Linked DNA regions of Caenorhabditis elegans. The protein of the gene in region 1 interacts with the protein of each later gene in a pairwise test. Each region holds a gene or a part of one and is shown in the gene's direction. Other genes may lie near its edges.

The links.
Region 2: the proteins of nog-1 (region 1) and cfz-2 interact in a two-hybrid assay, tested with the Caenorhabditis elegans proteins (one study listed by BioGRID).

What each region holds. Positions count from the first base shown.
Region 1 is NC_003282.8:392,198-397,108, forward strand, and holds nog-1 (Nucleolar GTP-binding protein 1), read left to right. Parts: upstream 1-1,682; 5' UTR 1,683-1,741; intron 1,742-1,819; 5' UTR 1,820-1,857; coding exon 1,858-1,908; intron 1,909-1,949; coding exon 1,950-2,555; intron 2,556-2,606; coding exon 2,607-3,764; intron 3,765-3,820; coding exon 3,821-4,051; 3' UTR 4,052-4,223; intron 4,224-4,347; downstream 4,348-4,911. Other genes in the region: uncp-18 (Syntaxin-binding protein 1), read left to right, coding at 109-359, 402-651, 699-841; T07A9.15 (Cytochrome c oxidase assembly protein COX14), read right to left, coding at 1,037-1,135, 1,188-1,292; rrp-8 (Ribosomal RNA-processing protein 8), read left to right, coding at 4,348-4,413, 4,467-4,911. UniProt on the Caenorhabditis elegans protein: Involved in the biogenesis of the 60S ribosomal subunit. Has a role in regulating longevity, growth and brood size. May regulate fat storage via the insulin/IGF pathway.
Region 2 is NC_003283.11:3,440,995-3,446,666, reverse strand, and holds cfz-2 (Frizzled-2), read left to right. Parts: upstream 1-1,789; 5' UTR 1,790-1,791; coding exon 1,792-1,992; intron 1,993-2,644; coding exon 2,645-3,920; intron 3,921-4,513; coding exon 4,514-4,639; intron 4,640-4,693; coding exon 4,694-4,827; 3' UTR 4,828-5,163; downstream 5,164-5,672. UniProt on the Caenorhabditis elegans protein: Receptor for Wnt proteins.

The sequences.
Region 1 (4,911 bases):
GGAGCGCATCCTTTTGAACTTAGCAAACAATTGTAGCGGCGCAAAAATCACATAATCTCGCGTATTTATAATAAACATTTAAACGAGAATTCACTGTCATCATTTCAGCTTTGGAGCAAGATATGGCCGTTGAGCATACGCCGGAACACGTACGTATCACGGATTCTCAAGCAGTTGGACGACTTTCCACGTTTATTTTACCAGCAATTCCGACTGAAACTCGTCTTCGATTGATTCTCATTTTTATGTTGACTATCGGAAAGGATAAAGATGAACAATACTTCAATCGACTTCTACATCACACCGATATTCCTGAATCGGAATTTCAGATTATTAAGAGAATGCTCATTTGGAGAGATGTCAGAGTCTTTTTTAAAATTGTATTCATCTTCTTTTTTCAGAAAACTCAGAAATCTCAATTCCAACATCGCCGACCACCACCAGAAGACGAGAGGTTTATCGCGAGTCGTTGGGATCCGAAAATCAAAAATCTTATCGAAGAAATTTACGAAAGACGATTGGACGAGCGGGAGTTCAAAGTAGCTGGTAAGAAATCGACGTCTGACTTCCGGCCGGCAGCAAGTGCGAGATATGGAAGTGGATTGGCTGGAAAACCACGCGAAAAACGAAAAATTATCATTTTTGTCGTAGGTGAGGTGATGTTTCGTTGATATATTCTGATTGGAAAGCATTTTCAGGCGGAATCACATATTCTGAAATGAGAGTCGCCTACGAGTTGTCGAAAAAGACGAACACAACAGTAATCCTGGGATCAGACGAAATTCTAACGCCGTCGTCTTTCCTGGAGTCGTTACGAGATCGAAATACTGTAAATTGCTGAAAATACTGTATTAATGTCCCCGAATATCGCTTTGTTTAAATAATATTCACAAAAAAATCTCGTTTTTCCATGTATATGATGCCATTTTCTATTTATCTCAAATAAACCACAGTTTCTATGAAAACAAAAACCTTCATTCGTAAATTATTAAGTCTCGTTACGTGGAAGTTGTAAAATCTATTTAAATTGCCTTTTCTATTGCCGAACAATTTTTCCGCGCGCCTGATTTTCTTTAAACCTCAAATAATCTTCCATTTCCTGATGTTGAAGTCGTGGAGCTGACATTGACCATTTCTAAAACAATAGAAATTTATCTTGAGACAAAATTGATTTTTTTTTAGCTCACCCGAATTTCCATAGCACCGGTATAGGCACAATACGCACCAGTTGTCACAAGCAAGAAAAGTCCAGAAGCGTAAGCATGAGCTCGAATTTTAGATGGAATTCTCATTTTTACGGATATTATGAGAGAAGGGAATCGAGGTTGCGTCAAAAATGTAGAATCGTTAAGAATTTACTCGGGTACGGTATGCAACGGTGTTTGCAGACTAGCAGGCTCATACACTTTCACGCGCAATTGCACACTTTAGGGTCATACGACTTATTTTCTCCATCAAATTTTCGTCAATTTTCGAATGTTTTAATATTTATTTGTGATTTTAATTCGTATATTCTGATAATTCTAAATTAAAAACTTATTTATACGGTCACATTAACTTATCGGCGAGATTAATGTTGCAGAAATTGGCGTTTCTTCCAGTTTAGGCCTAGAGTTAATTTTAAACAAATTTGCACAGTTTTTGTAGCGTTATTCTTTTATCATCTGTGTTAACAATTTCAGACGTTCATATGGAATTGTAAGGAATTTCAATCTCCGGAGAGGGGTCCTTCTGACACGGGGTATCTTGTTTTGTTCAATGTATTTCTTAATCCCTAACCTTTCACTTGTCATTTTCAAAACTTTACAACATATTTCAGAATCAAACAAGGGTTACACACAGTCGTCATTGCTCAAAATGACGTCGATGTATAATTTCAAGCGAATTACATGTGTTCCCAATGCACAGGTTTGTTCTTGTTCTGATCATTGAGAAGTTATATTTTTCAGGAACTGAAAGATGTGGTTCTCTCAAAAACGCAACGCAAAACACCAACCGTCGTGCATCGCCAATATTCGATTGGAAGAATCCGTGCTTTTTACGCAAGAAAAATCAAGTTCCTACAGCAAACTCTGCATGACAAGCTCACGCAAATCATCACAGAGTTCCCGAAAATGGAGGAAATTCATCCATTCTACTCGGATCTTATGAACATTCTCTACGACCGTGATCACTACAAAATCGCTCTTGGACAAATGAACACAGCTCGTCATTTGATTGACGGAATCGCCCGTGAATACGTTCGTTTGATGAAGTACGCCGACTCGCTTTATCGTTGCAAAATGCTCAAAAGAGCCGCACTTGGACGTATGGTCAAGCTGCTAAAGCGACAAAAGTCCAGCTTTGAATACCTCGAGCAGGTCCGTCAGCATTTGTCTCGCCTTCCAAGTATCGATCCAGCTACTCGTACTCTCATTCTTTGCGGATTCCCAAATGTCGGAAAGTCTTCATTCATCAACAATGTGACACGTGCTGATGTTGAAGTTCAGCCATATGCTTTCACTACAAAGGCTCTTTATGTTGGACATCTTGACTATCGTTTCCTCAGATGGCAGGTAAGTATTAAGCGAATTTCTTTTGAACCTTGATAATAATTCACTTTTCAGGTTATCGATACCCCCGGAATCTTGGATCAGCCACTTGAGGACCGTAACACCATTGAAATGCAAGCAGTTACCGCATTGGCTCATCTGAAAGCATCAGTGCTCTTCATGATGGATGTTTCAGAACAATGTGATCGTAGTATTGAGGAACAACTTCATCTCTTCGAATCGATCCGTCCATTGTTCGCCAATAAACCAGTTCTTATTGGTTTGAACAAGGTTGACATCAGACATCGATCTGATTTGCCACCAGAGAAAGCTGCATTGTTGGATCAACTGGAGAAGGAAGGAATTCCAATTATTGAGACATCTACACTTACACAAGAAGGAGTTATGGGACTCAGAGATCGTGCTTGCGATGAACTTTTGGCCCAGCGTGTTGAAGCTAAAATTCAAGCCAAGAAGATCACAAATGTCGAGGATTGTGTGCTGAATCGCGTATTCGTCGCCTACCCGGCTCCACGTGACGAGAAAGTTCGTGCTCCATTTGTTCCACCAGGTTTGGCCGCAAAAAGAGCTCAGAAGAAATTGCAAGAAGCTCAAGAGCTCATGGAGACTGATGGAGATGAGTTCGCAGCAAAAATTCCACAAAAACCAGGCAAAATTGGAAAGGAAAAGATTGCAAAGGGTGGATCCCAATCCACCGATCTTGGAGATCTTCGTGATGAGAACACCCGTCGTTTGGAGAGAGAAATTGAGTTGGAAATGCAAGATGATTATATTCTGGATCTTAAGAAACATTATATGCTGAAGAATCCTGATGAGAAGTACGATATTGTTCCCGAAATCTGGGAAGGACACAATCTTGCTGACTTTGTTGACCCGGAAATCCAGTCAAAGCTTGAGAATCTGCTTCGCGAAGAGGAGCTCTTGGAGCAAGCCGGAGAGTATGAATCAGATTTGGATAGTGATGATGAGGAGACCAAGGAGAAGTTGAAGCTTGCATTGCAAATCCGAGAAAAAGAAAAACTGTTGACTTTGGATCATGCCGTTAACAAGAGAATTGCCGGAAGAATTGGTTCACGTATTCATGGTTCAAGAAAGAGAGATCGATCAATGTCTAGATTAGAGAATGAGCTCGGAGAGTTAGGTGTAGATGTTGACACGAAGAAAATGAAGAACTTGCAAGGACAATGTGCCAAACCACAACTTGGAAAGAAGGTTTGTGTAGAACCGAAATCTATAATTTCGGTTTCAAATTAACATAATTTTTCCAGATGAAAGTGGGTCGCTCGCGCAGTCTCAGCGCCGTCCGTCCGGCTCCACGTGATGAGTTGGCATTCCCAGACGAGGAAAAACGTGCACATGTCGACAAGTTGCGTACGAAAGCAATGCGTGGATTGCGCCGAGAAGCCAAGAAGGGAGAAGCCGATCGTCACGTATACGACCTCAAGCCAAAGCATTTGTTCTGTGGAAAACGTGGAAACGGAAAAACCGATTGGCGTTAAGAACATATATATCTTTTGTTCATTTTTTTTTTGTTATTTTTGTTTTGTTATTCTGTTCGTTTTTTTTCGTCTCCCTGCTTTTTATTCCTTCCAAAAACTGTATACCCATCCATCCATTTTTACCTTCTTCTCACTGCGTCAATCGGCTTCTCGCCCACATGAGTTTCCCGAATAAAATTCTTCCTGATATTTTTGTAGATTCTGAATTATTTTTTTTCTTCGATATTGCACATTTTTTAGCATTCCGTTGAATTTTTCGCTGTATTAGAAAAACTATTTTTTAATTAACTCTTCAGATGGGCAAAAAAAGAAAGATTACGGATGAAAAGGATGCTCAACACGTGCCAGCTGAGAAACGAGAGGTTAATATCACATTTTCAAAGAAACGTAGTTCTCAAACACAAATTAATTGCAGAAAGTAGAAAATTGGTTAAAGAAATCTACGGAAAAACCAACAAGTTCACAATCTGACGCTGAAAAGAAAAAGAAACGTCCATGGCGTAATAAGGTCCGTAAACTTGCCGCAAAAAAGGCAGCAGCTGACAAGAAATCTGAAAATCCAGAAGAACCTCCGCTGATTCTCGAACCAAAGAGTTCTTCGGATGAAAATACGAAAAAGAAGAGAAAACGGGGCCCAAAAAAGAAGAAGTTCAAGCCCGAAGTTGCTGGAAAAGCTGCTGAAACTGAAAATGATGACGTGGCAGCAGCTCCAGAAGAAGCAGATCCAATTGCAGAGGCTAAAAAGAGACTTGACGCGGGACGATTCAGATTTCTGAACGAAAAACTCTATACATGTACTGGTTCTGAAGCATTTGATTTCTTCAAGGAGGATCCGACGGCTTTTGATCTATATCACAAGG
Region 2 (5,672 bases), on another chromosome or scaffold:
ATTTTTAACTTTTTTAAAAATAGTTTTAAAAAAAGAATTTTCTTTAATTTCAAAAACAAATTATACTTTCGAAAACTTGTTTTTGTATCGGAAAAATTCTAAATTTTTGTATAATTTATCAGTACATTTTTAATTTTTAATCAACTTTTCGTAGAGTCGGAACTTTTTTTCTAGTAGTTTTCAGGATTTGCGATTTTAAAATTAAAATTATTTGAAGGTTGTCTAACATGACCAAACATCAGTAAAAACACTACAAAAAATATAGATTTTTGAAAGATTCCAGTCAGTTTTCGTAAATTGCCAAATTTTTAAAAAATGTGTACCTTTTGGGAAATTTCCACAATTAATAAAAAAAACAATTAAAATATAAAAATTGAAGAAAAATATGCAATTTGTTCCAATTATTTCAGTGCATTAAGAAATTCCAAAAAAATTTTTTAAAAGCTTTTACTGTAATTTTTGGTCATTTTAAAAACACATGCCAATACTCTTTAAAATTTTTTTAAAAAAATAATTTCCGGTCGCATGTTCCGACCCCTACAATGTTTTAATACAAACAAATAAAACAAAATTAAAGTATGAAAATGTAGGGCAAAAAATTTATTTTGATCGATTTCCAAAATTATGAGTTTTTGCCTATTGAGTAATTGTCATTTTTTGCCAGTAAATAAAAAATTTTCAAAAAGTTTTTGAAACGTTTTATCTTAATATTCGGCTATTTTGGCACCAAGTCAGTAGTTTTAACACTTTCCCTACTGGCGCTACTCCACCTATAATAATTTCAGCCCTATCCACATCTCTAACCCATCCTCCATTCCACCTGTTGTTGCTCACAGTGGGGGTCACCTCCTCCTTTTAGCACCTTCCAAAATTTTCCAACTCCTTGCCAGCCACCACTTTGCCCTCCCCTATTTGCACACTCTTCTCTCCTCCCCCTTTCCATCTCCCCCAGCTCATTCATATATATGTACATAACTTCAGTAGTTGTTGGTTGGAGGTGGTAGAGTCAAAACATATCTCCTCTTTCTAGGCTCTTCTTATGCAACCTGACACCCCTTGAATTCCATTCGTGTTCCGTTTGAGACCCCTATGCTTGCACAACTAGGTTACATACCCCAGCACGTAACAAAATTCTCGTATCCTGAGCCTTATTTATTTCTCATTTTCATAAATTTGTATATTCTTTTTTCAGATTTCATCCCAGATCTAAATATAGAGAATTTAGCTAAAAACATATCTAATTTGATAAAGACCTTTCCGATATATCTTGGTTGGATATATTTTTCGAGTGCCTGCAAACACTCTCTCCACATATCCTCCACTATTTCCCGCAAAAAAATCGTTTCCCCTTACTGGTTTTTTGATGCTTTTGATGCTCTGTATGATGAAAAAGTGCTCTTTGGGTATCTCTCTCTCTCTTATATTTTTGATACCGATCCGATAGCTGATCACTGGATGTTAGGTCAAAGCTCTTGTGTGTATTGTGTCATGATAGTAGTAGTACTCGGTAAATAGTGATAAGCGATCACAGTTTTGCTACGTGGATATTGATTTTTTTGTGTTTTAACGGATCATTTTCTCTAAGAACTCCCGTAACTTGACACCGATCCTCCCTCCTCAGGAGGAAGCGCATCCTTTGTACTTTTCCTGTCTTCTTATTCTCCTCCACCTTCAGCTACTTAAATCTCAAATTTCATTTATCTTTTTTTTTGTTTTTCTTTTTGTTCTTTCCTTTTTCTTTATACCTTTTCTAATATCTTTAACTTCAAAATTAACATTTTATTTCTAGATATGCTACTCCGGATCAGCGTGCTGTTCCTATTGCTTGGCTCCTGTGGGGCTCTTTTTGGAAAACGTCAAAAATGTGAGCAAATCACAATTCCTCTATGCAAAGGTATTGGCTACAATATGACATCGTTCCCGAATAGTTATGGACATGAAAAACAGGAAGAAGCCGGATTGGAAGTTCATCAATTTTATCCGCTGGTGGAGGTGAGTTTTTTAAACAATTTTCTATGAGGAAATATTTTTTGCAATAATGAAAAAAACAAAAATTGAATATTGCACCACAAATTGAGAAATTTTGAATTTCGCGCTAAAAATTCGAAAGACACCAAATTTAGAATTTGCGCTAAATTGAAAAAAAAATTAACTTGGCGCTAAAATTTTCGAAAAAAAAATCCGAATATGAATTTCGCGCTGAAAATTTAAATTTTTCAGAATGAGTTTTGCGCCAAATTTTTGAAAAAACTCAACCCTAAATTTTAAATAAAATTGAAATTTTTATATCACACCAAAAATTTAAAAAAATCTGAATTTGAAATTTCCGCCAAAAATTTAAAAATTAAAATTTTAATTTGGCGCTAAAATTTAAACAAGATTATAAATTTAAATTTGTTATATACTAAAAAAATGTGAACCTTAATTTAGTGCCAAAGTTGTTGAAAAAAAATTAGATTTAAATTTTGAGCTAAATTAAATAAAATCCAAATTTAAATTTCGCGCTCAAAATTTGCAAAAACGCAAAATTGAATTAGGCTCTAAATTACGACAAATTCACAATTTTTTTCGCAAAAATCAAGAAAAAAGTAAATTTGAAAAACTTACCTTCTTCCAAAAATCAAAAAAAAATTTATATTTCCAGGTCGGTTGTTTCCAACATCTCAAATTCTTCCTCTGCACAATGTACACCCCGATCTGCCAGGAAAACTACGACAAACCAATTCTCCCGTGCATGGAACTTTGTGTGGAGGCACGCAGCAAGTGCAGTCCAATAATGGCCAAGTACGGATTCAGATGGCCCGAGACACTGTCTTGCGAGGCGCTGCCAAAGATGTCGGATCAGATGTCGACTGGGAACATCTGTGCAGCTCCACCAGATACACCAAAGAAGCAGCACAAGGGGCATCATCATAAGAATCAGAACCAGAATCAAAATCAAAATCATAACTATAGTCCAGATGGCCCAGAAGTCGGAATTTCCAAGATCGACAATGAAGTAATAGCCGGTCCCAGCGAGTGTCAGTGCACTTGTAACCAACCGTTCCAGTTTGTGGCATCTGAAAAGTCCAAAGTTGGAAATGTAACAAATTGCGCCTACTCATGCCATTCCCCAGCGTTGGCCGAGAGTCATAGCCTGGTGAGCAACTGGATGGCGTTCTGGAGCATCACATGCTGCGTGCTAGCCTCCTTCACATTCCTCACATTCCTTATCGAGACCGATCGATTCCAATACCCCGAACGTCCGATCTTCATGTTGGCATTCTGTCAGCTCATGGTTGCCGTCGGATTCATGATTCGATATTTCGTGGGCCACGAGGAGATCGCATGCGACTCGATGAGGATTAAGGGGGCTGATGATAACTCTGGATCCTTGTGCTTCGTCGTTTTCCTGCTCACCTATTTCTTCGGAATGGCTGCCTCGGTTTGGTGGGTGATCCTTTCGCTAACCTGGGTGCTGTCGGCCGCTTCAAAGTGGTCCCCCGAAGCGATTTCCTCGTTCTCATTCCATTTCCACGTGGTCGGATGGTGCCTTCCCGCTATTCAAACTGTATTGGTAATAGTTTTTAATGCGATCGATGGTGATCCGATAACTGGAATCTGCTACGTGGGAAATACTGATCTACAATTCCAACGAATCTTTGTGCTTTTCCCATTGCTCGTATATTTCATCGTTGGAGTTTTGTTCTTGGTAATCGGATTCTGCAATTTGTGGAGTATCAGAAACGAAGTACAAAAGCAACATCCTTCACTGGAGAGTGCCCATAAAATCACGCAGTTGATGAGCAAAATCGGGATTTTCTCATTGCTCTACACAATTCCATCGTTATTGATTATCTGTGTTCTATTCTACGAGCAGAATCATCGATCATTATGGGAGCAATCGCAGTTGTGCTCATGCTCGCCAAAGCAAACTATCGGTGAGTTTTTTTTTAAACTATAACAATTTTTGATCTAAATTTCCCAGTAAACATTTTTTTCACATTAAAAAATTTCAGTTGCTCGCTAAAATTGTTTTTAGAAAATTAAAAAACGAGTTTTCTAAAAATTTTCCCAAAAATTTGTTTAATTCCACCAAACATTTTTTCTCAAAAATTCAAATTTTCCGCAAACATTTTTTTAAAAATTTGATTTTACCGCCAATATTTTATTTCGAAAAAATTGAATTTACCGCCAAAAATATTCTCTGAAATTTAGAATTTCATGATAAAAATTATTCAAAAAGTTTAATTTTTCCGCAAAATTTTGCCTCAAAAATTGTGAATTTCTTTCCACATTTCCTTTTCAAAAATTCGAACTTCCAGCTAAAATTTTTCTCAGAAAAAAATTTAAATTTACTGTCAAAAAGTTTCTCAGAAAATTTGAATTTCCGCCAAATTTTTTTCCTCAAAAAATGTTAAATTAGTGTCAATAATTTTTTTTCAAAAATTTTAAATTTCTCGCCAAATTTTTTTTCTGAAATTTGAACCCCCCCCCCCCCCCCTATTATTCTTCATAAATTTTAAATTTTCAGGCGACTCCTCACTGATCATCTCCCTTATCAAAACTTGCTGTATGTGCATTTTGGGATGGACGTCCGGATTTTGGGTGTGCAGCACCAAAACTCTATCGTCGTGGAAAAATGCTATTTGCTGTTTGGGTAAGTTGAATCTAGCTTGAGTTTAAACAAGTTTTATTAATTTAATAATTTTAGGTTCCTCCCGATCTTTACCCAAATACCAACCGGCAGACATACTTTACGCTAAATCTGACATGTCATCCTCACAATTCTACAACACAAGTCTCCGACACAACCATCTTTACGGAGGCATTCCTGACAAGCTGTAGTGCTCAAGAAATGCATATTTAATATTTGTGATCCCCGCACATCTACCTCTTCAGGACCAACTTTCCACAATACTTGTAGTCGTTAAAATTAGTTTTTTCTCATGAGCTTTTACCTCTTCTTTCTCACCATCATCATCCCATTGATCTCAAGTTCCCGGCATTCTTTCTCAGTTTTTTTAAAAGAAAAGTTTTTGCAAATAATTTTAATATCACAAATTTAATAACTAAAAACAATGTTTTTGTAATCTTATTAGAGTGTTGTTTTTTGAATACTGCCTGTTCCTCTTGTCGAGCTTTCGGAATGTACATACCTAATAAATATTATTTTAATTGATGATTTTTTTGTTGAAAACATTTACGGTATATTAGAAGATTATTTCATGAATATTGTCAGTCAAGACACTTGTGTTCGATTGAAATTCACTTTAAATGGCAGAAAAACGACCGTCATGACCGAATAAACTGTTAAAAAGTTTTTAACATTTTTTTTGAATTTTGCCTATATCAAAATGTGGCCAAACTGAATTTAAATTCCCACGCAAATGAGTGACGTCATTTTTTATATTTTCGCGTTTTCTGGCTAAAATCATGATTTTTCTGGATTTTTTGTTCTAAATTTAATACATGTTTGTAAATTTTCAGACACTTTTCCAAAGAAAAAACATACAAATCATTTACTATATATAAAGCGCGTGTCCTTCTGTCCCTATGTAGTTTGATCTTTGATCTTTGGTCTTTGAACTCTGTAGTCTGTAGTTGGAAGAGGTATTGGGTTGGAAGTTGGTGATGGATAATGTCAAGGTACTGTAGTGGTACTGTAGGAGTACTGTAGGTATACGGTAGGG